7 linked regions of the Canis lupus familiaris genome follow. The protein of the gene in region 7 binds, or shares a complex with, the protein of the main gene of each other region. Links are inferred from orthologs where the notes say so. Each region holds a gene or a part of one and is shown on either strand. Other genes may lie near its edges.

Region 1 (3,803 bases), on a different chromosome or scaffold from region 7:
GTTCAGGGGTGCCACATCCATCTCGTCTTCAATGCTGATGCACTTGGACTGCTCCAAGTCACTCAGGGTCTGCTCCACGAGTTCTGACAAGTGGTCAGACAGGTGACGATGGGAGATGCCTGTAACGGTGAGAGAGAAGTAGGGAGTCACCAGGAGATGGCCGGCAAGGGCCATGAGAACCACAAAAGGATACTGTGCACTCCACAGTCCACTGACCCTGCAGGTTGTAGTAATTGGGGTTCTGTGTCATGCGGCGGTACAGAAAGGTCCAGGTCAGGTAGTCCACGGCATCCTGCTTGTTCTCTATGGTCTTGGTAACAATCTCAGCATTGAAGTGGTCATGCATACAGTGGTCGAGGTGGGACTCTACTGGCAAAGGTTCATATAAAAACTTCTTGAAGAAATCCTGTAGATTGGAAAAGGAGAGATGGCAATAAAGAGTCAATGACAACACGGTCACAAAAAAGGGCTAAGGGCAAATCAACAGGGAATGGCTCTGTGTTACAGACCCAGCTAATACAACAATGGAAGAACTCACTGTACTGACTAGGTGTGTATGCCTGGTCCCACTGGCCTCATTGACCATTCTACAATGGGAATATGGATAGAGCAAGTCAAACAGGCCTAACAATATATGAAGAACCAGCCAGAAAGTAAAGACCTCAACATGTGGAGTCAGCAGCAGCAGCAAAAATAAAGGGTACAAAATTCCATGTGCTGAGAGGGTTATCATAAAAGCAATGTGGAAAATAAAAGAAACAGAAGCTAACAGAAAGAATGTAAACAAGGAAAGACACCTAAGAAAGAATCTGCTCTGAGACCAGGAATGACCTTTTTAGAGCCCTGGCACATGATGACACAGCGCCCCTCGTCATCCTGCAGTGGGCGGTTGGCATGGCCCACCATCTGAAGCACATCGTAGATGGGGTAATCCACGTACCTGGGGACAGAGGAGAAGAAAGGTGGCAAAGAGGCATCCACATGGAGACTACACTCAGGCAGCTCAGACTCCCTCAATGCCAAAGAATAAAACGCAAATGTGGGAGACAGTGGACAATTACAGCTATCCCCCGAGCACTTCCCGTGCTCAGTTACTAGTTTCACTTGTTTCTCTCTATATCATTGTGATTTTCAAGTGTAAGAGTTGAGACTGTAAGAGTTGAGACTGCAAATCAGGGTCCTTGAACCAAAGCTACAAACCCAGCGAATGCCAAAAGCAAGTAACTCCCTAAGAAAGGATCAAATATGTAGGTCAAGCTTTCCAAACAGCTGTGTCTCAGAAGTTAGACACTCACCTGACTTAAATCCAAACCTAGAATGAATTTCAGATGTTAAAAATAAGCCCATAGCGAATATTCCAGGAAAACAAAAATCTACATTTTGAGAAAAAATTAAGAATTAAATCATTCAAGTTTTTTTTTTTTTTTTTTTTAATGATAGTCACAGAGAGAGAGAGAGAGGCAGAGATACAGGCAGAGGAAGAAGAAGGCTCCATGCACCGGAAGCCCGATGTGGGACTCGATCCCGGGTCTCCAGGATCGCGCCCTGGGCCAAAGGCAGGCGCCAAACCGCTGCGCCACCCAGGGATCCCAAATCATTCAAGTTTTTAAGGAAAACCGAACCTTCTACTTCATTGTTACCACACAGGTGTGTGACTTGGATCATGTCACTTTCCCTATCTATAAGATAAACAACTACCTAATCTCCACCTCAAACTTCCTGGTTCTCCAACTTGCTGCAATGTGACAGGATGACCACAGAAGCAAAAGTGAGCCTAAAGGGTATCCCTGGTGGCTCAGAGGTTTAGTGCCTGCCTTCGGCCCAGGGTGTGATCCTGGAGTCCTGGGATTGAGTCCTACATCGGACTCCCCACATGGAGCCTGCTTCTCCCTTTGCCTGTGTCTCTGCCCCTCTCTCTCTGTGTGTCTCTCATGAATAAATAAATAAAATCTTTAAAAAAAGAAAAAGTGAACCTAGGGCCTAAGACTAAACACTCTCTCAGACATGTATGTGGCTGTGGGGGAATCTCAGCTGGCTCTTCATCTCCCTAACATCTTTCCTTCATAATTTCTGTATCTGCAGATGTTATGTTCATTTTATTTTATTTTTTTAAGATTTTATTTATTAATGAAAGACACAAGCAGAGGGAGAAGCAGGCTCCATGCAGGGAGCCCGATGTGTGACTCAATCCCAGGTCTCCAGGACCAGGCCCTGGGCTGAAGGTGGCGCTAAACCGCTGAGCCACCCGGGCTGCCCTGTTATGTTCATTTTAGGAGAAGGTTCCCATTAATGCAGAGCACAGTGAGACTCACGCATGGATCTTGCCATTGTAGTACTGGGTGTCCATGATGATCACCAGGTGGGCGGCCACATTCATGCCCCAGCAGAGACTTCGAGAAGCTACCACCACCTGGATAGCCCCTGAGAGGCAGAGGGGAGAAGATGACTGAGTGCAGGCCAGCTCCCTGGGAGGATCTGTCTCCCTCGCAGGTAGGGCCTTATCCTGTGCTTCTTTTGAGAACTCAGAGCAAAGTTTGCTGGGAATGAGCCCTAATCATGACAAGGGCTAACGCAATACTGTAAGAGGTGGCTCCATGCTGCTGCTGCCCTGCTTGGGAGACTATCTTGTAGGAAATGAGATAATCCTAGAATAGAATCCCAAGCTCAGGGAAAGCTAGGCTTAGCTATCTGCTTGACAGACTGGCCTTGCTGACTGGAACGTGGTAACACCAACTCAGTCATACGCTGGCTCAGTACGTACAGCAAGACTGAGCTGTGAGCATGCCTCAAACCACAGATTCAAGCATCAAAGAGTGCCAGCATCTCCACTGCAGTGCCACCAAATAGTGCTAATACTCTGCGTGAAATGCCATAGGTCAACAAGGGACAGTGGTACACAGACCACCCAAATGAGACTCAGCTCGAGCGTTTATTACACCTCTAAGATCTAACAAACTTGGTGAGAGTGGTATCTGTGGAAAGCCAGGTCTACCAGTCAGAGGTCCTGGTCTAGAAAACCAGATTCTGAAGTAATACCACCTTTACAATGCCTGTTTTCTCATCTAGCAAGTAGGCATGATATTCTACCCATATTCCAAGGTTATTGGGAGGATCAAATGAGGTAATAGATAAACTCATCAGAAAAGAATTTTGAGGATGATGAGTCTGCTGGAGGAAAGTATCACCCACGTCCTAAAATTTCATATCTATCGCCTGTGATACCCTTACATCTGACCTCCTTCTGGCCACAAGAATTTTCTTCACCTGAGCTGAAGAGCTGTTCCACCAGGCGTCGCTCCATGGGGCTGAGGCCCTCGTGCAGGTAGCCCACCCCATTTAACAGCGTTTCCTTGAGAGTGCTGTCACTTAGTTTCTCCAGGTACGGGATTAGATCCTTCTCGGTGCAGTGCAAGAACCTAGGCAGCACAGACACTGAATCGGCTCAGAGCGCTTCCCAACCCTGGCAAGACCCTTCCAACCATTGCAGCTGGCCAGCCCCTAGCCCGATGGGGCTAATCCCCACCTTCACGAACAGGAGGCTCTTCATGGTGAGCCAACCTCAGTGACCCAACCCTCCCTGCCCCTCCCTGCCCCACCTCTGCCGCTGGATGTCAGCTGCACATGTGGTGAGGATGTCAATCGCAGTGAGGCGGGTCTGCTTTCGGGACGGAACAAAAACAATGACAGGCTTCTTGGGAGAATGTTTGGTGATAGCATGGTACACGGGCTTGGCCATGGAGAGCAGGCGAGTCTGTGTGTGGCTAATGTTGAAGCCCTGGAGACCGAGGAAAACAAAGGGACGG
Region 2 (4,389 bases), on a different chromosome or scaffold from region 7:
GATGTCACCGAGGTTTTGCAGATCTTAAACTATTTGCATGGGTTTTTTTTTTTAACATGCAAAAATTAAAAGTCCCATTTATTCTTCCCCATCGTGGGGTTTAAGTTAACAGCGAGCTGTGACAAACTGTTCCTGCAAAATGGTAAGACAGCTCAGAGGTACACAGCCTCTCCCTGAGGCTGTGCATAAAATCAGATTTTAAATAGGAAACTTTGTTATTACCACTCTACCAAGCTCCAGACATCTGTAAAATCATTAAGCTTACCTCCCATGTTTTCAGGGCAGCTCAAAACTAATACAGCATGAGGTGGTGGCCTCATGATGGTTGGCACCATCAAAGCATCAAGTCAACACACCACATTCCCGGAGAAACAATCTAATCAAGTCCAGCCTAAACGGTGGAACTTTTACTCACTTTAAAACAGCTGGGGTATCCAAACAGGGCTCGAGACAGGATGAGGAAGATCCCCCACTATCTGCCATTTCTGCAGAGGGAGATTTTTAGATAGTTAAGTTGTTCTTTATACTAAAACTTTAAATTTCAAAAATTCCTGTTGAGCTCAAGAAGGACTTCCAGAATTATAAACTCATGTTTTGCCTTTACACAGAAGAAAATAAAACAATTATCTTGTGATGAGTTTCAAGTTTGCATTTCTAATAACTGTACTATATAATATTAAAAGTTTATTAAAACAGAAATCCAAATTTTTGGACCAAAGAAAAAGTACCTTAAAGATAAAACAAAGACAAATACTCAAAGTGAGCCCAACTAAACTGTTCTTATCAGTAGGTTCGATCCCAGAGTGCGTTCCTCAGTGATCCCGCAGTCCAGCCTACAGCTGACACACAGGGATGGGAAAAGAACAAACAACTTGCTGAAAGTCCCTAAGAGCTCAGGTTAACACAAAATCTGTCTCCCAAAGAAGAGCGTCTTGCTGGGTTTTGCCTGGGTATGAAGAGCCAAAGGAGCCTCCCGTCTCTAACCATCCTGACCCTGCACCGAGGGCAGCAGGAGCTGGTCACCACCTGGTGTTTATGCCCCCACATGCCCCGCACAATTCAGAACACACACCCTACGTTATTTCAAGGTCAACAGAGCAGCAATGGTGTTTCTCAGGAAAGTGCTTGGAGGTGGTTCTTCACTGACCACAGCAGTGTCTGCTTTTGACGCGACAAACTGGCGCCGCAGCTCTCCCGAGCTCCCCAGGCACCTCCTCAGGCTCCCCAAGAAGAGAAAGGGAACGGCCAGTCTCCCAGCACCCTTACTCTGATCCCGAACTCTGCCAAGTGGTTTTTGGAAGCCACTTCAGAATTCCCAGGGCAGCTTTTGGGCAGAGCTGTGTGTGGACCTCACCCCAGACCTGCAGAACGAGAACCTCGGAGGTGCACCTGAGCAAGTCTTCCAAGCGATCCTCACGTGACTGACCGGAAAGACGGCCTCCACAGTTCCACGGTTCCCAGTGCTACCACCCGGCCTCGCTTGGCTTCTCCCGCCACACAGGAGATCAGAAAAAGTAGCAGTGGAAGGTCAGATAGTTGTTAGTGAACTAACCTCAATGTGGGGTCCTGCTCTGACCCCCGAGACTTCGCCTTTCCCAGACACATCTGTCCCTACACCTGTTACCATGTACTGAGCTATCTTAAGCCCTTCTTCCTCTGAAAGAAATCATGGCTTTAATGTTTCCATTACTCTTGACCTCTCCTTATTTACGGAATATCAGTAAGTAATCTATGAATTGGCTACAACTACACATCCAAATGAAAGTTCTCCTGAAATGAGCCCACAGAGCCCACAGGAGAGCACCAGGTGCTGCTGGTTCTGGAACTGCCAACAGAGCCTCCGACAAGCCAGGGTGCCAGCATGGTGACCCAGACTGGGTCCAACCAGGCAAGTCTCCCAGAGCACGTCTGAGCTAGGAGTGCACTTAGGGCACAAAGACCGGGATGGAGAACAGGCTTTCCTTCCCCTGACAGGCACGACTGCCTCCCACACACAGGGAGCAAAGCACCAAAAACTGGCAATCCTGTGCAGCTACCTGGCTAAAATGGCGTTCCACGAAGTCCCTAGGTGTGCTGCTCCCAGCTCCGTGGAGGTGGCACCATGAACCCCTTCAAAACCTGGAGACCAGGGACACACTGCTCCCACGGAAGGACCGTAGCCTCGGGGCACAGGGTCAGGCCCCCTGAGCCCGCCGCACCCTACCCTCTGAGGCCTGGAGCCTCCACGCGGGGGTCAGGCCCTTGGACCCTGCTGCGCCTCTGCAGCCTGGAGGAAGAGGAGGACCTGCACGCGGTCACCTCACTCCAACCCTGCAGCCACCTAGCAAACGGGGCAAACCAAAGACCACAGCTTCCTAGGCTGACGCTGGGCGGGGGGCTGTGTTACCTTCTCCGCGATGCTGTACAGCACCTCGTCCATCTTCATACACGTGGGGTCCCAGTCGTGTCCAAAGCGGATGACGACCACGCGGTCCTCCTCCGACAGGATGGCCTGATCCACCTGCCAGCCGTTGTGCAGGTGTGGGAGCATGTACGACATCTCGGGGCGGCTCCGGGTACACCTGCGGGCACACCTGCGGGAACTGTGCGCACCGGCTCCTTGCGGCCGACTGCGGGCAAGGGCTGCACGTCGCACCCGCCCGCGCCCCTGGGTCCCACAGCAGACCTCACCCCCCCGACCCCTGGAAGAGGGACGGCACTGAGGGGACGCCCTGCAGACCCAGTCCCCGGTGCGGAGGCCCCGGGGTCGCCCCCATCCGTGCCCCTCGGTCCCGCCGCGGGGAGGGCCTGGGACCCCCGCAGACCTTGCCCCCGGCCCCCGGCCCCGGCCCCGGCCCCTGTCAAGCTCTACCCCTGGAAGGAGAACGGGGCCGCGAGGACGCCCCGCAGACGCCAGCCCCTGCCTCCCTCGCCCCCGCTCCCCGCTCCGTCCGCCCGCACCTCAGCCGACCGCAGCCTCCCGCGCGGCAGCCCTTCCCGGCGGGGACGCGAGCCGGTCGGTGCGTGCGCGTGGCCGCCGACGCGAGCGTGAGCGTGCGCGTGGCCGCCGACGCGAGCGTGAGCGTGAGCGTGCGCGTGGCCGCCCGACGTAAGCGTGAGCGTGCGCGTGCGCGTGCGCGTGGCCGCCCGACGTAAGCGTGAGCGTGCGCGTGCGCGTGCGCGTGCGCGTGGCCGCCGACGAGGGGCCGCGCGCGCCCGGCGCCGGGAGGGAGGGACACCGAGCCGGGGCTCCCGTGTGCGCCCGGGCGGTGCGGCCGGTGGCCCCCGGACCCCGCGGGGTCGGTCTCCTGAGGTGTCGCCGCGGTCACGGGGGGCCCGGCTTTGCCGCCTGATTCTCAGCCCCAGTCAGGCCCCTCGGAGCGACCCAGCTTCTCCGCGGCGCCCCCGTGCCCTGGGGGTGTGACGAGGGCAGCCGGCCGAGCGGAGCTGCGAGGTGCGGTTCGGGTCCCGGCGGGGAGCAGCGCTGGGAGCCGGGGGACGGGGCCGGCACACGGGACAGGCCGAGGACCGTGACGTGACGGGCTGGGGAAGGCCCGTCCTGCTCACCGCACAGCCGTCCCCGGGGCGGTCAGGGCAGACTAGGCCCCGCTGTGCGGTCGCCGCGTCAGCAGAAGACCAGCTAAGGTGTGGGTCACCGTGTGAAACACGCACGGCCCTTGTCGCCCGTCGCCCCGTCCGCCTCCGGGCGCGTCCTTTTTGTCAAGAAGCTGACGGAGGATCCCCCACGTCCTGTGGGGTCCTCGCGCTGCAGCCCCGGGGGGTCGTAGAAGCGCCACTGCGGTCTCCGTTGGGGCAGCTCCCGTCCTGCTGGGGGGAGGCCCGAGCGCGGTCGGCTGGTCGTCCCCACTCCCCGCGGTCCCTGAGCCCCGGCGACCGCGGACTCCCGCCCGCCTCCCTGCCCCCGCCTGCCCCGGGCAGTTCGTGCGAGCGGAGACCGACCGGGACATCGCCCGGGACTGCCTTCTCCAGGCCGCGCTGTCCGCGGGCGTCAGGATTCGGTCCTCGGTGCTGGTTACCACTTCATCATACGCATGTGTGCATTTTTTTATTTTTATTTTTTATACATTTATTTTTTGTTGGTGTTCAATTTGTCGACATCTAGAATAACACCCCGTGCCCGTCCCGTCAGGTGCCCCCTCAGGGCCCGTCACCCAGTGTGTGCATTTCATTTATCCATCGTCTGACATTTGGCTGTTTCCACTTTCTGGCCGTCGTGCATATGCTGCTGTGAACATCTGGATTTGTGTTTGTGTGGACTTAGGTTTTCGCTTCCCTAAGAGTATATGAGTGGAAAGCCGGGGTCACGCGATAACCGTGTTTAACATTTTATGGAATACGAACTGTTTTCAAGAATGGCTGCAGCTTTATTGTATTTATTCAAGAGAGCAC
Region 3 (4,453 bases), on a different chromosome or scaffold from region 7:
GTTCAGCCTAAAATCTGCCACTTTGTAACCTTTCCTAGACAGGAAGGAAGTCTTTAAAAATTCCTCAAAGTTTAACTAAATAAATATACATAAGAAGGAGAAAGACATCTCCCAAGACTCAAGAAAATAGCAACATGACTAACCAAATGATATTAATAAGACCACAGACATGCACACAAGTGGTTGGTTAAGAACAAAAGTAGATTTAAGAAGAGATATGGTTTATTCAGCACCTTCCAGAGTCAGAGGAGGGCGAAGAGGCTTGGTATGAGAGACACATACAGTCTAGTCACAAGAAAGTCCATTAATCGCAGCGAAGAGCCATTCTACTGGGCCCCGCTAGTAAATAGAGGAAACATCCTTCCAGAATGATCTACCTCTGTTGCTCTGATTCTTTGCCCACTAAATCGGTTTCTGATGAAAAACTCAGCTTTCCAGGCATGTGCAAATAGGACATAAGCATTTAGCTCACTGAAAGAGAACTTACTGCCATTTAGAAAACAAAACAATTGCATCTGATTTCTACCCAAGTTTCATGTGACTGACTAGTTTGCATCTCTCATGGATCATCTATAGGCATGCTGGGAAAGTTAGCTTCTGGCCCTAAAAGGCTGATTTGGAAGTCAGTGACTCAATCAGGGTGCTGATGTCTGTCACCTAATGGTATAAAGAGTGGAAGCCAGCAACTCTAAAGGACATTCCTGTCACCCCTCTTCCTCATCAAACTTGGTTATTGTTTCAAGCCTCAGGACTGGACTCCGTAGCAAAAAAAATAGCAGCAACAGCAGTAATAAAAACCAATATTCCTACAGGTCTTTATTAGCAAAGAAATAATACTTACATTAACAAAATCCCCACCCTGGATCATGAAATCTTTTATGACCCTGAAACAGAGAATAAAGCATCCTGAGAGAAGGTTCTGTCATTTAGAAAAACATTGACGTACTCATTATACTTTAGATTAACACTGATTTAAAAATAAAACGTTTTTTAAACTTTGGTGTTTTGTTTTTTTTTTAAAGACTTTATTTATTTATTCATGAGACAGAGGGAGAGAGGTGGGGGGGCAGAGACACAGGCAGAGGGAGAAGCAGGCTCCATGCAGGGAGCCTGAGGTGGGACTCGATCCGGGGTCTCCAGGGTCACGCCCTGGGCTGAAGGCGGCGCTAAACCGCTGAGCCACGCGGGCTGCCTCCTTTTTAAAGAATGTTCTGCTCTAAAAAAAAAAAAAAAAATGTTCTGCTCTTACTGGCTTTAGCTAATCAGAATCCATCCCTGGGGGTCTGGGGATGGGGGGAGAGGATGCTGAGAACACTGTTAATTGTAACCTTGCACCTACTGTTAATACCTTGGCATTTCTGCTGAATTCAGTTGGCAAAGTTCTGGTGCTAAACCGCTGAGCCACCCAGGGATCCCTTGGTTTTTAATAAGCCTTCAAATCTATTGTTGAGTTCACAAAAAACATTCCTTCTCAAGATCTAGGAATTATCCTATGGTTTTAGTTCCCTTTAAAGAAATGAATCTTACTTTCTAAAGAAAGTAAGAAATTACAGGGCAGCCCGGGTGGCTCAGTGGTTTCGTGCCTGCCTTCGGCCCAGGGTGTGATCCTGGAGACCCCGGATCAAGTCCCGCGTCCGGCTCTCTGCATGGAGCCTGCTTCTCCCTCTGCCTGTGTCTCTCATGAATAAATAAATAAAATCTTAAAAAAAAAAAAAAGTAAGAAATTACTTTTTTAGAAAGTAATTCTAAAATCCTGCAGGATGGTTTGCCAAGCCTTACCTGTGGAAGGTGCTCCCTTTGTATCCTATCGGAACCCCATCTTTTCTATAACCAAAAAGAAAGAGACTTGGAATGACGACAAGTAATGACAGGTCTTCCCAGCTTCCCACACACTCGAGCCAAGAGACTCTCTAAAGGTGGTGGGGAGGAGAGAGATAAAGGAGGCAAATGAACTGAAGACAGACCCTTGGGGTATTAACCTTCTACTACCGGCACCAGCAATCATTCAAGGCCTACGGGCGTGGTTCCCCAAAACCCCACTGCGGCCCCGGGGCACCCTTCAGGAGCGAGCAGACGAGTCAACCACGTCTGAGAGACTGACCTGAATTCTCCAGTGCAGAACTGCCTGAAAGGGAAAAGAGGGGATGCTTCAGTCTCGGTGACCCCACAGCGGGGGGCGCTCCTGGCGCAGAGGGGCGGGGAGGGGAGCGCGGCCTGAGCCCCCCGCGGGCCCGCCGGCCTCGACACCCAGAATTACGATGAACTGAGATGGGAAGGGTAAAAACGGGGACAATTCGGAGCTCCGATCTCAAGGGCGGGGAGCGGGCCGCCACGCAGGCCCGGTCCGGCTCCCGGTTCCGATGAGCATCCCCTTACCTAAAATTCTCGGCCGTCTTCGGCACAACGTCTGCAAAGAGCTCGATCTTCATGCGGCCGACCTCCTGCAGGCGGCGGGACACGGTCAGAAGGCCTCAGCGAGCAGGGATCCGGGGGGGCGGCCCGGTCCCCCCCGCCCCCCGGCGGGGCGCTGGGATGCGCGAGACGACTCCTCTCCCTCCCGAGCCCCCCGCCCCGCAGGTCGGTAGGTCCCGGTCCAGCTTCGCCTTCTGGCTTCCCGAGTCCGCTATCCCCGGGTGCGGGAGACCCTCCCGGCCGGGCCTGGAACCTCACCTGGCCGCCGATGCTGACATCAAAGAACACCACGGGATTGACGGGGCTTGAATTTGCCACCGCCATGGCTCCGACCCGGAAGCAGTAGCCGCAGGCACCGGTTCCGGCGAACCCGAGCCCCGATTTCCGGGGCTTCTACTCGCCGGCGCAGGCGCAGGCAGAGCCACCCGAGGCCAGGCCCCGCCCCCCGGAAGTCCCGCCCCGCTGCGGAGCGCTCCCGGCCTCCGGCGCCGAAACTGGGCGTCGCGGAAGTGGGCGGGGCCAAGGCCTCCGAGCCGACGTACACGGCGCGTCTTTCCCCCTCCGCTCAGTGTGCGCCGCGGCGGCGCGGGAGGCGGTGGGTCTTAGGTGCTGGACCCTGAGCGCTCGGGTTAAGCCGGAACCGGAGTTCTGGTTCTGCTCGCGAGCTGCCCCTCTTGTCACCTACAGTTCATTCCTGCTGGAGCTTTTTGTTTTTTTCCCCCTTTTAAAGATTTTCTTATTTAATCACGAGAAAGAGAGAGGCAGAGACACAGGCAGAGGGAGAAGCAGGCTCCATGCAGGGAGCCCCACGTGGGACTCGACCCCGGGTCTCCAGGGTCACACCCTGGACCGAAGGCAGGTGCTCAACCGCTGAGCCACCTGCCCCCAGCTAGAGCTTTTAAAATGAACCTGTTTATAGATCATTCCTGGCCTCCCATCCTTAGCTCTAGTGCCTACTATTGAGTAGCCCATAGTGAGGATCCAATAAATAGATTCAATGAATTGAGTGAAAAAAGGTGACCTTGGGCAAGGCTTAGAGTCACAGCCTGTATCTGATATCATAGCTATTGTGTCCTATATCCTTTGATCATCCTTTTTGGCCAGTTGTCTGCGGAAGCAGGGGTTACATGTAAAAACTCAATGTCTCAACTTAATGGTGTCTTTTTTATTTTTAGTTACTTTTCCTTTCCCCTTGGTATCCTTCTCTATCTCCAACTGAAGAGGGAGAAGAAAGAGTCCGAGGAGAGTAGGAGGGAGAGGAGCAGGATGGGAAGAAAGAACAGCAGGAGTCACCCTTCAGTATAGTTTATACCAACTATTCTAAAATAATTTTTTTTTAATTGGTAATATCCAATGTTGATGAGGTTGTGGAAAAACCAGTGCTAGTGAAAATCAGTGATGATGCCTAGCATTTGTTAAGCAGCTACTAAGTTCTAAATACACATTTCATTTACTTTGGTCCTCACAACTCTATGGGACAGGAATGACTACTGTTCCCATTTATGGATCAAGAAATTGAGGCTTAGAGAGGTTGACCATAGGGGCACCAGTGGCTCAGTCGATTAAACATCTGACTGCATCTCAACTCAGGTCTTGATCTTAGGGTGGTGTGTTCAAGCCCCACATTGGGCTCCATGCTGGGTGTGGAGCCTACTTAATAAAAAGAAAAGACAAGAAAAAAAGTCTGACTATAGAAACATTATGTTGACACAAGTTTTTCTTTTTCTTTTTTTTTTAAAGCAACACTACAAGTGATATACCAAAACTGTGTAACATTTGTGTCTTCTGGCCCATAACTGCCAATCTTTTCTGGAGTAACTCGAGAGAAAAGAAGAGTTATATTCGCAAAGACTTTCACCACAGCATAATCTCAAATAGTGAAAAAGCAGAAACAACTTGAATGCAAACAAGATAATTTATAGAACATCAACGTGATAGAATATCATGTGGCTACTGAAAGAATAATTATGAAGACTGCTAAAACACAGGAAAATGTTTTATGGTGTATATATATGTTTTTTTAAAGATCTTATTTATTTAT
Region 4 (3,803 bases), on a different chromosome or scaffold from region 7:
TGTTCATAGTCCAAACAGGTCTTTCTAAAATTCCTCCACAATATGTAGTGTGATCAAGTTTCAGTGGGAGGGAATAGATGAATGGACAGAGTACCATCCCCACCTCCCACTTAATCCCCTCTAACCCCCATTCACCATCTCCCTTTGTGTTAGATGTCTGTTCATCCCACTTTATCCGATGCAGCATAAGACGCTTAAATTTCTTCTGGGCCTTGGGGCCTGGAAACAGAGAAGGAGAATTTTGCCAGAATGGTGGAAGATGATGAAGTAGAAAGAACCTCTGAGCTCATTTGTTACTCAGACCCTAAGGTGGTAGTTGCAATCTTGGAAACCACATTTTAGGTTCTTCTACTCCAATAAACACAGAAACAGAAACCCAGGACGTTATACCTAGGCGTGGCTCTAAAACACTTATCTTCTCCTCCTTTTCCCCACCATTCTATTCACTTCAAGGCCTAGGGTTGTGTGGGGACAGTCTCCCTCAGTTTTTTCGGACTCACCCCCTTCCACTACTACCACGTTGACATCCTTGTGCAGTACAACCACCCCTGTCAGGTACAGTTGCCCAGCATTGGCCTCAATCTTGAACTTCTTGGCTGGATTGCTCAAATTTCGAACTCTGGAGAAGGGAAAGTTTAATTATGGCTTTTGTTTTAGCATCAGTAGCTGCCTGAATGGAATGGCAAATAAACAGATGTTCCACAATGGTTTTCTCTCTACAAACAACAGCCTCTGGAGTAAGCACGTACACTAACGCTTGAAAGAAAGGCAGAATCAGTAAGTCTTGAAGTAACTCCACTGTCTTATACTTCAAAGACCAGTATTGTACACACACACAACAAATAGCAGGTAATCAAAATTTACTCTAAGAAAGAAGAGGTATTACCACTATCCAAAAGTACTTGCAAGCTAATTGTTCTTGACAGTGTAATGATCAACAAATTCTTTGCCTTCTAGATGCTTATAATGTCAAGTTACCAGAATGCTATGCATGGAAAATTTCTAGAATTTTCTAGAATTACAAAAAATTGTTAGTAGCAATTATCTACAGTAAGCAGTAAGGGATCAGAGAGCAAGAAGGGGACTTTTTTCAGTAAAGGCCTTCTATACTGTTATATTAAAAAAATTCTTAAATATTCATTACTTTGTAATAATGTATCACTTTCATAATAAAGAACTAGTTATTAAACAAGAGCACTTTTAAAAAATGGAAGGTACACACGTACTCAACATAAAAATAAAATGAAGACATTAAATCAACAAGAAGGTAGAAAATATTTACAATGTGCAAAATGTATTTTGTAGTGGGAATAAAAGGATTACTACATTACATGAGAATAAGAATATAGTTACTGAAGAAAGAAACTTTTGATGCTTCCTGAAGAAATAGATTATATTTTATTTCACATAGAGAATGATCCTTAGTTCATATGTTGGTCTCACCAGGTATATTCATTCATTCATTCATTCATTCATTCATTCATTCATTCATTCTTCAGAACTAGTACTGGTTCACTGAGAAGCTCTCAGAGATAGAACAGTAAGTCTTTAACCCTCCCTCATTATAAAAGATTTACTAGCTCCTGATTCATGTTGAGGTCACAGAAGAGAGTAGGGACTGATGTTAGACCACAGTGATTCTGCCTCAAGCACTTGGAAAAGTTTTTGGTATTTCTAAGGCAAAGGCTGGCCCAGTTTGGACACCTACCTATATACAGATATGTGTACCCCCTGTGAAATGTCTTCTTTAAGCTTTTTAATTTTCTTGACCTTTCTCTGTTCTGCTGTAAGTTTTCGGGCAGCGTTGGCCTCTTCATGCGCTCTGTCGTGACAGGAAGGACATCCACAAGTGAGAAAGGCATTGAAGATCAGAGGCAAAGCTGAGGGAAAGAGAGAGCAACAGAGGACTCTCCCCTCCCTCCAAATATGGATCCCCTCAGAAGAGTCTGGGAAAGGTACTTGCCCGGGTTTCCACCCAATCCCATGGCACTTACTTCTGTCTTTTTGCCATCTGAGCTCTGACATGGGCTTCTACCTTCGTGGGGTCTTGAACAGCTTCTGTTCCTAATACTCGCATTAAATTTGAAATTCTCACTGCAAGTGGAGAGAGGATAGAAAACAATGAATTCTCCAGCTGGGATAACTTGTCACCTTTTCTCAATCAATTCAACTATTTACCTATTTCAAATCTCTGCTCCAAGTTTATTTCCTCCAAAAACCCCTACACCTTGAAAAGCCCATCCAATTAACTCAGTATTTGTGGAAGGTCACACAATCTATACAGTTGGTATACATTTATTTACACTGCTTGAAAATTTATGATAGATAAGGAACTTTAATTTCGTTGGTATTTTTCACTCTGATCACAGCATTTTTTTTTTTAATAAAGATTTTTATTTATTTATGAGAGACTCACAGAGAGAGAGGCAGAGACACAGGCAGAGGGAGAAGCAGGCTCCATGCAGGGAGCCAGATGTGGGACTTGATCCCAGGTCTCCAGCCCATTAGAGGATCAGGCAGGCCCTGGGCTGAAGGCAGCGCTAAACCACTGAGCCACCTGGGCTGCCCCTGATCACAGCATTTAATAAAAGATCCTACACATAACAGTGCTCACTCAAATATTACTGAGTGATAATGGAAACTACAGGAGTGAAGGTTTCTTTCAACAGTATTTTCATTTTTCAAATATTAAGAGTTATGTACAAAACACTCTATGCAAACACTGTAACTACTATCTTCATGAATTTCAAGACCATTACTCTTCCAGGAAGATCAGTGTTATATATTTTTACACTTTACAAATAAACCTTAAATGACCTCTACACCGAATATGTTGACCTGTCTTAACAAGATTGTAGAAAATTTAGAATAGGAAGAAAAAAATCAATGAATGATTCAGAGAAAACAAAAAGCACCCAAATACAGAGAGATATAAAAGTTCCTCTAGAAATACAGGGATAAACAAATGTACCACCCTTTCTTCTTTGCCTCCAAGATACGTACCTTTGGGTTCTGGAGGAGGCATCAGGCCCAGCCTGACTTTCTCTTGTAGTTCCTTCTGTGCTTCCCTCCTTGTTTGCCTTCGAAGTTTCTTCTGTTCCTTCTTGGTAAGATACACCCCCAGAGTAACTGGTGTGTCATTGTCAACTGCCAGGTAGAGAAATGAAAGTATAAAAGCAAGAAGCCCATTAGAGGAAGGTAGGTGACAATCAATCACTCACATTAAAAGAAATTTGCTATTTTTAAGTTGGATAATGGTAGTATGTTACATTTTTTAAAAGCATCCTTATCTTTCATAAGTGTTCTAACTTGTTTTTTCTTGAAGCAGGTGAACGCTTTAATCAACTGAAAAGTAGCAAATACAGAAAACAAAATTAGAGCTGCTCTAGTTGCTCTGCATGAGTATTTGGGTTAGGTGGGGCCAAGATGAAATTTATAATTTTGGAGTTACAGGAAAATCCTCTGGACTCCCAAAGCAGTTTATTTAATTTTCTTAAATTTTATTTGTTATTATTATTTTTTAAAAGTTTATTTAAGTAATCTCTACACTCAAAATGGGGCTTGAACTCGCAACCCTGAGATCAAGAGTCTCATGCTCTTTTGATTTGAGGCAGCCAGGTGTGTTCTCAATCTTTTAGTAATATTTTTTAAAGATTTGTTTATTTAGGGATGTGGCTCAGTGGCTCAGTGGTTAAGCTTCTGCCTTCAGCTCAGAGCGTGATCCTCGAGTCCTGGGATCGAGTCCCACATCGGGCTCCCCGTGTGGAGCCTGCTTCTCTCTCTGCCTGTGTCTCTGCCTCTTT
Region 5 (3,803 bases), on a different chromosome or scaffold from region 7:
TCCTTGTAGAGGGGAGCAGTAGGGAGATCGAGTGTCAGGTACATGAAGGTGGACTCCACCATTGTCTCCTGGTATTCATCATTATGCAGCAGCTGCTCTTTTTCTTCTGCTGGCTAGAAATGAAGGAGAAGATAAAGGAGGGAAGGAGAATGAGCAGTAGAGACCATCACACGAAAAGAAAATGTTTTTGTTACGTTTACTTCCTTTTGTTTGTAAGTAAATGAAAAGGGTACCCAAGAGACTGCACATTTCATGGGCAGCACCACCTGGTTAGGGTAATGCAAAAACCGATGGATGTCCATCTCCAAAGACATTTAACTTAAATATCGGACTTTTTAAAATATTTCCAAATGGTTTAGAAAGCTCATCTGACCTTTCTGAAAAACCACGCCAGCACCACCCAGTGGCTAACTTCCAAACTTAATGAACACACCGGTGTGACAGGAATCTAAGGAACTGTCTGGGCAGGGTTGTACAGAACCTCATCCTGGGGCAACGGGCCTTGATAGCTCTCTAAGACTCTCTTTGTCAACCCTAAATCCTCTCAGGCAAAATAAATCAGGCCAAGAGTCAGGTTGAGGTTCAACTCACCAGATCAGGATGAGGAAGCTTTTTAGTGAAGATCCTCATAGACCCCTGGAAAACATCAGTCACAATAGCTGTACAAATGGAAATCAAAATGCAAATTCTGTCAGGTTGGAAAGCATTTCAAAAATATAGTCCTAACTTCTAAATTTCTGAAATAAACCAGCATCTTCTAGCATAAGACCTAAAGCTCTCACTAAACACAGAAGTACCTATGTAACATATACCACCATGGTACCTTACATTATTTGTGCAAGTAATTATTTTATGTCTGTCTTCTCCACAAGATGCCCCTTGACCCTCCAGCACAGGGTCTGGCCCATAAGAGAAAAATTAAGTGTGTTTGAAATGAATGAATGATTTATAAGGCCTAGAGACTTATCACAAAAAAATTCATAAGCAAAGTAAGACAGATCCAAAGAATTTCCCATAACCATACGCTGTATGCAAAGGAAGACAGGAATCCACCTTGCACTAGACATAAAAGAAATGCAGAGGGGATCCCTGGGTGGCTTAGCAGTTTAGCAACTGCCTTCGGCCCAGGGCATGGTCCTGGAGTCCCGGGATTGAGTCCCCCATCAGGCTCCCTGTGTGGAGCCTGCTTCTCCCTCTGCCTGTGTCTCTGCCTCTCTCTCTCTCAATGTCTCTCTCCTGAATAAATAAATAAAATCTTTAAAAAATAAATAAATAAAAGAAATGCAGACTAAGGGACAGGACAGAGAAGAGAACCAAAGCAATGAGAAAGAACAACAGGGTTCTAGAATCCTGATAGGACACAAGTTACAGAATTCATCAGAGGATGTGCACAGGCTGAAGACATCCAGCAGAGGTGGCACGGCAACCTAGTAGAAAGAACGCCAGCCCACAATTCCACATCAATATAAACATCAACACCAGCAGAACCGAAAAAAGGACAAGAAAAAAACTGCATTAGGTCTCCAAAATTATTCATCTAGCTCAGCAGTCTCTAAGCTAACGGTTAATTTTGGCATTCATGGAAACCGTCTAGTTGTAATGCCAACATGGATATTAAGGATAGAGGACTTGAAGACTGGGAATCTTTTTGGAAGACAGCCTCATTTCTCCAAGTACAGGCTCAGGGGGAGGAACTAGCTTTTACTCTGCTTCACCAATTTAGAAGCCACGCAAACAGCTCAGTGAGCCCTCCTCACATTAACTCTTGCACTACCAGACTACCAGTTGACAAAATGCTGCCAGCCCCTCAGCACAGAACTGGATCAGGATTTCTAGAGCGCAATTGTAACCATTTCCATGTATTAACTAAGCATGCCATCAGATAATAACCATATCCTAATTTTTTTAAATGGAGAGGAGCCTGTTCAGGAATAAAGCTTAGTTCACGTGTACATAGACACTACCCTGACACAAAAAAATAAACAGTTAAGAAAAGGATGGGAAGTTGCAAAGTGCCGTAAAAACAAGCAAACAGGGATCCCTGGGTGGCTCAGCGTTGAGCGTCTGCCTTTGACTCAGGGCATGATCCTGGGATCAAGTCCCGCATCAGGTTCCCTGCATGAAGACTACTTCTCCCTCTGCCTATGTCTCTGCCTCTCTGTGTTTCTCGTGAATAAATGAATAAAATCTAAAAAAAAAAAAAAAAAAGTAAACAGAAAAGAGCTCTTACAAAAGAAAATGACTTACTCTTCTTTTTCTTCTTTGTACCCCCCAGAGCTGAGTGCAGAGCATTCAGAAACCAGGACAGGAAGTCAACTCCATCCCCTGGAAAAGAAGGAAGGGTGGGACACGTCAAAGCTGGAAATTAGTATAACACAAACCATGCACTGGCTGGCATGATGTCACATTCCTGGTTTTCCTTTCCTTCTAGGCCTCACCATTCCTTCCCCTGGCTGCCTCTTTATTTGGTCAGTAAATGCTGGCACTCCTCAAGGTCAAGCCCTTAGTCTTCCAGTCTTCACTCTCTCCTTGGGCTCTCTGACCCAACTAGTACCTTTGATTATCATCTCTACTTCAAACTTGTATCTCACCAGCCACCAAAAGCCAGTATTAAATTTCCCCTCTAAATCACTCCTCAGCCTGAATCATGTTTTTAAAACTTAAGTCTGATGTCACATCTTGGCCTAAAGGCCTTCACTAACTCCCCACTGTTGTCAGGGTATAACCCAAGCTCCTCTTTGCAGCACCTAAACCGGATGATCTAGTCCCTCCCTCCCACCTCAGCTCTCACACTGTCCCCTGGACTCTAGGCACCTGGCTACTGGCAGCCTTCCATCTGTTCCGGGCATGTCCACGTTGTTGGAAGCATCCTCGCTACCTGGAATGCCCAGCCCTGACCTATCTCCACTGTGCCTAGAACTCAGCTAGCTCTTCCTCCACTCTGACCCTGGCCAACTTCCCAGGTGCCCAGCTGGGGTTCCTTGCTTTATGCCCCCTCCCAAAGCATACTTCACTTCATCTATCATAGCACTTATACCCTTGAGTCAGCTTTTTACACAACTACCTTCCCAACTAGAATAGGAGCTCCTGGAAGAAAAAAACTGTGCAGCTTATCCCTGTTGCTCTAAAACCTACTAGCAGCACGAAAGGATGGTGAATAAACAGACACGAGGCGAGAGGATGTTGTATGAGATCCAGGTGCTAAGAGCTACAGAGTGTCCTCTCTACTCACATGGCAATAACTAGTTGTACTTAGGAGGGATGAAGAGTCAAAATAGGTCATCGGAGTATCTAGTCTGCAGAATGACAAAATGAGAAGCAAACACGGCAAGTGCTTAAGAGCTGGTGCCTTTCTCAAAGCCTCCTCATCTTCCCCTCAGCCATACAGTTTAGTTTACCAAATAAGACAGACTTTCTATCCAGATGAAGTCACAGGATTCTGAGCAGGGCAGACTGATGAAAGGAATGAGGAACGCAATCATGCTATCAACTAGAAGCACACCCAGTTACAACAAGGTTCACTTCAAGTGCAAGTAAATTTGCTCATCAAACTGGTTTTGTTGCCCTACCATTAGAAAAGATGAAGGACTCATTTCTTACCTTGCTTGGTGATCTGAAAAGTCTTCTTGCTGCAAAGGACAACAGCCTGAAGCATCTCATGGGGAGAGACATGTGCCTTGAAATTTCGAGGGTTCCAGAGCTTTCTCATCAGCTCTCCAAAACGCTGGACCAACAAGAACATGATATCCCCCGGAGGACGCTTGATGTTCTTATAATTATCTTCTTCCAAGAAGTAGTTCCGT
Region 6 (2,822 bases), on a different chromosome or scaffold from region 7:
AGAGAAAGAGAGAGGCAGAGACACAGGAGGGGGGAGAAGCAGGCTCCATCCTGGGACTCCAGGATCGCGCCCTGGGCCAAAGGCAGGCGCTAAACCGCTGAGCCACCCAGGGATCCCCTCAAGCTGACTTTTTTTTTTTTTTTAAGATTTTATTTATTTATTTATTTATGAGAGACAGAGAGAGAGGCAGAGACACAGGCAGAGGGAGAAGCAGGCTCCCTGCAGGACTCGATCCCGGGTCTCCAGGATTACACCCTGGGCTGAAGGCAGGCGCTAAACCGCTGAGCCACCGGGCCTGCCCCCCTCAAGCTGACTTTGATGCAGCATTCCAGCTAGCCACTCCTACTGGCTGAGGCAGCCCCCAGTCTAATGCCCATTTTAAGGACCTTGACTAATAGGGACTGCTGCTCAGAAAGGTGCTTTTGGCAGGAGGCAGAATAGAAACAGACCTTATTTATTAAAGATCATGTCAAAGTATACAAAAACTGGGTTCTTTTAGACTTGATCACCACTTGACTGGTATGTCTCTAGCAGGAGAGAAATCATTTATTATGGATAATTATTCTCTGGGAATTATTTACTCTGGGAGTAAATCTAAAAAGATGAGAAGGGGGGAAAAAAAAACCCTAAACATCCCTGTAAAATAGTATCTTGGAAATTTAAATGGAATGTATCCCCCCAGCCACATCATATCCAGGTCAGATTTATAGCGATCAAGCTTCAAAGAAAAGACACAATAAATCCAATCCACATGGCTCTTGTAAAAAGGCATCTATTTGGTTTTTAATACAAAATGACTCAGAGAAACACAGAAAGAAAAATATCATACAAGCCAGTTATTGAATTAAAAAAAAAATCCCCAATGAACAAATTTCAGTGACATTCCCTGTCTTTGGCTTGTATTAGGAAACAAGAAACTACAAACCAACCTGTGTCTGTCTCTTTGAAGAAATCTTACTTAAAAAAAAAAGAGGAAAAAATCCCAAACAGTTCCTGAAATCTGGCCGGTGGTTTTAGAGGCCACTGTCAGCTTGTCTTAATCATCCTGGTGGAAGGGGTACCAGTGGTTGCTGGAACATGGCCACCTCCTCTTTGCTTTTTCCTAGGAATGGTCTTCATCTGAAGGGAGGCTGCTAGCCTGGGCACTGCTGGATGCCACTTATGACGCCTGAGGTCTCAGGGGTCAAGCAGCCGTTGGGGCGGGTGTCTTCCATTCCGTATCTTCACTGAATCTCCCCCATATACAGTCTCTTGTCACTGGATGCTGAGAGAACTGAGGTGAAGAGAATGAAGAAGATAACTGGAACTAATGAAGGCTCAAGGAGACTTGGTGCTCAAGGGCTCTTGTGTCAAGAGCCAATTTTGGTATAAAAGAGCAATTGGATTTAGCTTAAATTCCCCTCCTCTTCAACACCACTCACAGGAAACTGTAGCCTGGCTTTTCAATCCAAGTCCTCTTGAAACCACAAGGGTGGACTGTGTTATGGAAAATGCATTATCAGGGTCCAAACCCTGATGTCCCACATCAGCCAAACCCCATAAAGAAGACCTTCTCAGCCATTCTAGGGAAGAATCGATGTCTGTGCCAGTCATTTTGTAAATGTGTTTTTGCTTGTTATAGTTAGCCCTGGAGAAAGTCATACTTTCTTCTTAAATTCAAGGCCCACTGTTTAATTAGCTAGCCAATAAATATCAAGTTGCAATTTATAGCTGAATATTAGAAAATATCATCTTTTAAAAATCCAAATACATCACTGAAACACAGACTTGAAACAAGTAAACTTAAGAGAACTAGAAACAGATTAACCAGTCTCCCTTTGAGATTAAGAAAATGGAACATGCTCTTCCTGTCACCATTTAAAACTATGGTGAGACAATCAAGGGACAGCCATAAAGACTACCTGGAAATTCACATATGACAGATATCCACCTCTGCCTTTCTATTTTCAGGGGCCCTTTAGGGAGATTCCCACAGTTTCCCTTTCCCCAAAGTCAGGACAGACTTACTGATTGGTTCATCAGGGTGGAAAGCCACTTCATTGATGGAGCCAGCATGTCCAGGCAGCTTATACAAAATCCTCCGGCTTGTGGTATCCCACACATACACAAACCTGCAAGGTATCATGAGGAGCAATGCTAAAGCTTCCTAGAGCTGAGAGTAGGGTAGAGGCATGGCTTTTTAAGAGAAATGGAAGCAGAGATTTATTTATTTACTCCATATTTACTGAACTGTGTTCTGATGTTTAGAAACTAGAAATATAGATTCTGAATAAGGGATGGATCCTGCCCTTGAGTAACTGAATAGAGATACAGGAATAAACTATAAGCATTACTGGTATTTTATTTATTTTTAAGATTTTATTTATTTATTCATGAGAGACACAGAAACATAGGCAGAGGGAGAAGCAGGCTCCATGCAGGGAGCCCAACGTGGGACTCGATCCCGGGTCTCCAAGGCTCACACCCTGGGCCAAAGGTGGTGCCAAACCGCTGAGCCACCCGGGCTGCCCGCATTACTGGTTTTTATTTTATTTTATTTTATTTTATTTTATTTTATTTTATTTTGTTTATTTTATTTTATTATTTTATTTTATTTATTTTAATTTATTTTATTTATTTATTTTATTTCAATTTATTCATTTATTTAATTTAATTTATTTTATTTATTTAATTTAATTAATTTATTTTTATTTTATTTTATTATTATTTTTTTTATTACTGGTATTTTAAACATAAGTTTTTGGAATAGGAAAGAACATGGAGAAGAAAGATAGTTTTTCCTATGGTCCCCACACAGAAATCTTCAAAGAATGCCTGATATT
Region 7 (4,260 bases):
ACAGCATGACGGGATCCTCCACACCTTGCAAGCATCCTCGCCTCCCATCATGCATTAAGAAACAAATGAACCCAACACCTGCATAGCCCAGATCAGTTTGCAGCAACTACGCATGTATCTTGGTCTAGCTAATGCTGCCTCACAGCCAGAGCAAGCAACGATGCTAGCCATATGAACTTAAAGAATAAGCCTATTCCCAGCCCTCCATTGTGACACTAAGGAGAAGCCTGTGCCTATCCACAAGGATGTGTGTACACACACACATACACACACATGGCCACTAAATGGTGCTGAACCTGTGCCATAACCCCATCCTCCTCAAAGACCCCTTCAGATGATCTTTCTCCTCCACCCAAATGCCCTCCCTCACCCCCATCCTCAGTCCCACACTCACCCTTCTTGACAGCATTGACTTCCAAGGGTTTCAGCCCCAACTTTGCCCGGAGTTTACTGAGGACAAGAGATACACATGTTAGGAGCTGCCAACAAAATAGGGACATCAGAGACATTTCTGGATAGAGAGTGAAAACAGGATGGAACTGAGAAGTCCTAAGGGTCCCCAAAGCAGAGACTGACCCAGGCAGCCAAGGACATTGGGAAGGATGCTGGCCTCCAAATCAGGGAACACAGGCACTAGGCCTGGCCTGCCCCTAACCAGCAGAAGACCATCTTTCTCTTGGGTCTTAGCGTCTTTTCTGTAACTCAAATGGTTATACGTCATTTCCAATTCCAGTCAGAATGCCTTAGTGTGTGAATGGTCCCCCAGGAAACTGTTCCCAGAAGCCCTCTGTCTCAGAAAATAAAAGTAGAAACATCAGGAAGACAGAACTTACTTGGTCTCCTCGATGCTAAGAGATGAGGCATCTCCTGAGCTACTTTTGGAGCTGGCAGCTGGAACAAGAAGTATAGTTCAGGAGCTGAACAAAGGGCCAACAAACCACATCTTTGGCTCGAGCTCTGCAGGGACCTCCCTTACCCATACCCGGGCCCTACTGAGACACTCGAAAACAGCAACCTTCCTCCATCTCAGTAGCTCCTTCCATCTCAGTCCCAATCTCTTGAGACCCCAACATAACCTTCCTTTCCTGCCCCAAAAGGTCCAACCTTTTTGCAGCCTTCACTCTGCCTCCTCTCCACTTCTGTACATTCTGTTTTCAGCCCACACTGCCCTCCTTGGCCTAACTCTGATAGACGAGATCCTATCCAAATGCTGAGACCAAATGCCACCTCCTTCTGAACTCCTATTTAATTATTGGTCAGAATGAACTGCTCTCTCCTGAACTCCACAGCTCATCACTCACTTCCAGGTCTGTTTCTCCCCACTGGTCAGGGACTGTGTTAGCAGCATGACTGTGTTCTCTGCGCAGTTCATCCAGTCAAGAAATACACTTAATGGTCCCTGTTTTGCGATGGATAGTGAGGATGCTGAGATAAAGTAGCTTTTCAGACTTCCTCTACTCATCTCTCACTCAGCAAGTAACTTCGGAACACAACACACAGACAGAGGCTAGACGCCACCAGATGGAGCTTCCCCACCCAGGTGCTACCACCTGTTCATCCTTCCTGCGTCCCCACTCCATAACCTACCTCTTCCCCTATACCTCACCTGGACCCTGGATCTCAACCTTTCTAGGCTCTCTCCAAGGTCACCAGCCTCCTTATTTCTAAATCCAACGGATTCTTTTCAGCTCGAATTTCCTTTATTTTCTGTGGTGTGTGTGACACCATTGACTATTCTTTGCAACAGACCCCATGACACAAGATTCTATAGTTTTCTTTTCTGGATATTGTACCATCAAGCATTCTTATAGCCTCTTACTCTACCTACTACGAAAATGCTGGCATTTTTAAGGTTCTACTGCCCACTCCTTACTCTCTCGCCAGGCTTCATTTGCCACCTGATTTACTTATGACTTCCAAATTGCTCTATCCAGCCCAAACCCTATCGGTTGCAATGCTCTCCACAACTGAACTCTCTCCCCTCAAAAGTCTGCTTCTCTCCCAAAGTCCTCAATTTCAGGAGACACAACCACCCACCCAGTTGCTCAAACCAAAATTTAAGGAGCCATCCTCATTTCCTTCTTACCCTCACCCAAGTGCTAAGTAAGCTCTAATTCCTCCTCCCAAACGGTTCTTCAATCTGTTCAGGTCTCTCCACCCTCCGCTGCCTCAGCACACGCCACTATCAATCCTCACGTGGCCTCCAGTCTTGACTATTTTTGAACCAGGTCTCAATCTAGGAATCTTTGCAAAATATGATCAACTCATTCCTCAGCTTAAATCCATGGCTCTCTACCACCCTCAAGACAAAATTCAAATTTCTGTAGGGCCCTTTGTGCTCCGACCGGTTTCCTATCTCTGCTATGAACCCTACCCGGTTTGCCCAATATCAGGTTTCTTCTTGGTTCTGCACGAGCTAGAACAACTTCATTGATTCATTCACTCAACAAATAAGGGCCTGTGAGGGGCCAATTTTGAGACAACAGAAAACCTCTGCCCTCGCAGAGGTTAGTAGAGAGAGACAACTTTTAATCCCAAACGGGGAGACTCTCTAATAATTGCTGACGGAGACAGCGTCGGGGAGCCGGGGCGGCAGCGCTCGGCTCGCACCCAGGCCAGACCGCCCGCCCCGGGACGCCCCGCCCCGCCCCCACAGGCCCCGCCCTCACCGGCCTCGTAGCCGTCATCGCGCTTCTCCCGCTTCACGCGCCGCTCTGAGGGCTCAGCCTGGCCGCGCTCCCGCCCGTGCGCGCCGCTGCGTGTCTCGGCTTCGGTCCCGCGCCGCCCGCCCCCGCGCTCGCCCCCACGCTCCCGACTCCGCTTCCGACGTTCGCCACCGCTGCTCCCGCCACCGCCGCTCCGGTGCTTGTGTTTTTTGTGCTCCCGGTGCCGCGGCGGCTGCTCGGTGGCGCCTCCGGTGCTGGCCGCCGCCGTCGTCCCGGCCGCCTCTTTCTCCCCACGGTGCTTCTTTGACGACCCCATGGTGGTACGTCCGCCCCGAGCCCGGCCGCCGCCGAGCCCCGACGACGCAAAATGGGACTACTTCCGGGTCGCCCGGCAGCCGCTGTCGTGTTGCCGGAAACCAAGAGTGGCTGCTTCCGCCGTTCGCCTCGGTGCCTGCCCCGAGGGCTCACGGGAAGGCCGGGGTTGGAGCCCGGCTGCGTGTTTGCGGAGCTGTTGGTCTGGTGGCGGTCTTCGAAGTGCGTGCGTGCGCCGGGTGTAGGGGTTACAGGCCTCCGAACTATAAGCCCTTAAAGCCGGCAATCTGGGAGCTGGAGGCGCCCCCCCCCCCGCCACCAGACGCTCCCTGCCTCACGGGTTTACCGGTTTTACCGTGCACCGCGCCCGCCGCTCCAGTCGGCGTCCTCCCGGTGGGCTCCACCCGCCCCCGCCCCCTCGTCGTGGCTCCATCGGGTGTGGGACGCCGCAGCTTGTTTTGAGACCCAGCCCAGCCTCTGAGCCCCTACACCCGATATTATCAAATGCTGCCTTTCCACCTTACTCGTATTGGGTTCTTTTTTCCTTGTCTTTTGTTTCTTTTTTTTTAAGATCTACTTATTTGAGAGAGCGCGTAAGCGGGAGCGGCAAGGAGAGGGAGACAAGGGCCAGCTGAACCCTGAGATCGTACCTGAGCCGAAACCAAGAGTGGGAGACGCCACCCAGGCACCCCCCTCACCTTGGATTGGGTTTTTAAATCTGTACTTTGAACCCCCAGAAACTGCAAAATTCCACACAGCACGACTGGGTATGTGAGCTCATTCCCACCCCCCTCCTTGGGGGCCCAAATTTGAAGTTACTTAGAAGTTAAAATCCCAAGGCGCATGGGTGGCTCAGTAGTTGAGCGTCTGCCTCTGGCTCAGGTCGTAATCCCGGACCCAGTTCCTGTCGGGCTCCCCAGAGGGAGCCTGCTTCTCCCTTTGGCTACATCTCTGTGTGTCTCATGAATAAACAAAGTCTTTTAAAAAGTAAAATCGCAATTCACATAATTCCTCCTCTGACCCGCAACCCCCAGTTGCTGGGACTGGCGGCCCCTGTGCAAACCACTGGTTACAGTGTAAGATACGTACCCCTTTAAGGATCCAAACCTCCTCCCCTCCCACCCTGAGTTCTCAAAGGCAGAGGCCATTAGGTCCTGTTCCCTCTTGAATTCCTAGGACCCAGCATAAATGTTGGAAATGGGAGTGGAGGAGTCACAGCTGTTGCTCTGTGAGATGATCCACTCAGGAGCAGAAGCAGAGCTGTGTGTGCTGGTGGGGGCAG

What was found.
Region 1: SART1 (region 7) and SNRNP200 share a complex: the UniProt entries of both Homo sapiens proteins name them as parts of the U4/U6-U5 tri-snRNP complex. The link is inferred for Canis lupus familiaris from reciprocal best matches to the Homo sapiens genes SART1 and SNRNP200.
Region 2: SART1 (region 7) and TXNL4A share a complex: the UniProt entries of both Homo sapiens proteins name them as parts of the U4/U6-U5 tri-snRNP complex. The link is inferred for Canis lupus familiaris from reciprocal best matches to the Homo sapiens genes SART1 and TXNL4A.
Region 3: SART1 (region 7) and PPIH share a complex: the UniProt entries of both Homo sapiens proteins name them as parts of the U4/U6-U5 tri-snRNP complex. The link is inferred for Canis lupus familiaris from reciprocal best matches to the Homo sapiens genes SART1 and PPIH.
Region 4: SART1 (region 7) and PRPF3 share a complex: the UniProt entries of both Homo sapiens proteins name them as parts of the U4/U6-U5 tri-snRNP complex. The link is inferred for Canis lupus familiaris from reciprocal best matches to the Homo sapiens genes SART1 and PRPF3.
Region 5: SART1 (region 7) and USP39 share a complex: the UniProt entries of both Homo sapiens proteins name them as parts of the U4/U6-U5 tri-snRNP complex. The link is inferred for Canis lupus familiaris from reciprocal best matches to the Homo sapiens genes SART1 and USP39.
Region 6: SART1 (region 7) and SNRNP40 share a complex: the UniProt entries of both Homo sapiens proteins name them as parts of the U4/U6-U5 tri-snRNP complex. The link is inferred for Canis lupus familiaris from reciprocal best matches to the Homo sapiens genes SART1 and SNRNP40.

What each region holds. Positions count from the first base shown.
Region 1 is NC_049238.1:34,672,440-34,676,242, reverse strand, and holds part of SNRNP200 (U5 small nuclear ribonucleoprotein 200 kDa helicase), read right to left. Parts: intron 3,776-3,803; coding exon 3,597-3,775; intron 3,417-3,596; coding exon 3,265-3,416; intron 2,422-3,264; coding exon 2,313-2,421; intron 941-2,312; coding exon 832-940; intron 407-831; coding exon 217-406; intron 120-216; coding exon 1-119. UniProt on the Homo sapiens protein: Catalyzes the ATP-dependent unwinding of U4/U6 RNA duplices, an essential step in the assembly of a catalytically active spliceosome. Plays a role in pre-mRNA splicing as a core component of precatalytic, catalytic and postcatalytic spliceosomal complexes.
Region 2 is NC_049222.1:688,379-692,767, reverse strand, and holds the start of TXNL4A (thioredoxin-like protein 4A), read right to left. Parts: upstream 3,053-4,389; 5' UTR 2,941-3,052; intron 2,583-2,940; exon of another isoform or gene 2,574-2,582; 5' UTR 2,540-2,573; coding exon 2,387-2,539; intron 486-2,386; exon of another isoform or gene 416-485; intron 1-415. UniProt on the Homo sapiens protein: Plays a role in pre-mRNA splicing as component of the U5 snRNP and U4/U6-U5 tri-snRNP complexes that are involved in spliceosome assembly, and as component of the precatalytic spliceosome (spliceosome B complex).
Region 3 is NC_049236.1:754,186-758,638, forward strand, and holds the start of PPIH (peptidyl-prolyl cis-trans isomerase H), read right to left. Parts: upstream 2,826-4,453; 5' UTR 2,737-2,825; coding exon 2,671-2,736; intron 2,442-2,670; coding exon 2,377-2,441; intron 2,126-2,376; coding exon 2,102-2,125; intron 1,825-2,101; coding exon 1,780-1,824; intron 885-1,779; coding exon 842-884; intron 1-841. UniProt on the Homo sapiens protein: PPIase that catalyzes the cis-trans isomerization of proline imidic peptide bonds in oligopeptides and may therefore assist protein folding. Participates in pre-mRNA splicing.
Region 4 is NC_049238.1:60,226,383-60,230,185, reverse strand, and holds part of PRPF3 (U4/U6 small nuclear ribonucleoprotein Prp3), read right to left. Parts: intron 3,148-3,803; coding exon 3,004-3,147; intron 2,095-3,003; coding exon 1,995-2,094; intron 1,823-1,994; coding exon 1,709-1,822; intron 620-1,708; coding exon 501-619; intron 220-500; coding exon 136-219; intron 1-135. UniProt on the Homo sapiens protein: Plays a role in pre-mRNA splicing as component of the U4/U6-U5 tri-snRNP complex that is involved in spliceosome assembly, and as component of the precatalytic spliceosome (spliceosome B complex).
Region 5 is NC_049238.1:39,801,167-39,804,969, forward strand, and holds part of USP39 (U4/U6.U5 tri-snRNP-associated protein 2), read right to left. Parts: coding exon 3,601-3,803; intron 2,326-3,600; coding exon 2,248-2,325; intron 660-2,247; coding exon 592-659; intron 114-591; coding exon 1-113.
Region 6 is NC_049223.1:69,155,534-69,158,355, reverse strand, and holds the end of SNRNP40 (U5 small nuclear ribonucleoprotein 40 kDa protein), read right to left. Parts: intron 2,112-2,822; coding exon 2,008-2,111; intron 1,274-2,007; coding exon 1,224-1,273; 3' UTR 757-1,223; downstream 1-756. UniProt on the Homo sapiens protein: Required for pre-mRNA splicing as component of the activated spliceosome. Component of the U5 small nuclear ribonucleoprotein (snRNP) complex and the U4/U6-U5 tri-snRNP complex, building blocks of the spliceosome.
Region 7 is NC_049239.1:51,813,116-51,817,375, forward strand, and holds the start of SART1 (U4/U6.U5 tri-snRNP-associated protein 1), read right to left. Parts: upstream 3,048-4,260; 5' UTR 2,983-3,047; coding exon 2,670-2,982; intron 2,473-2,669; exon of another isoform or gene 2,375-2,472; intron 892-2,374; coding exon 834-891; intron 451-833; coding exon 395-450; intron 1-394. UniProt on the Homo sapiens protein: Plays a role in mRNA splicing as a component of the U4/U6-U5 tri-snRNP, one of the building blocks of the spliceosome. May also bind to DNA.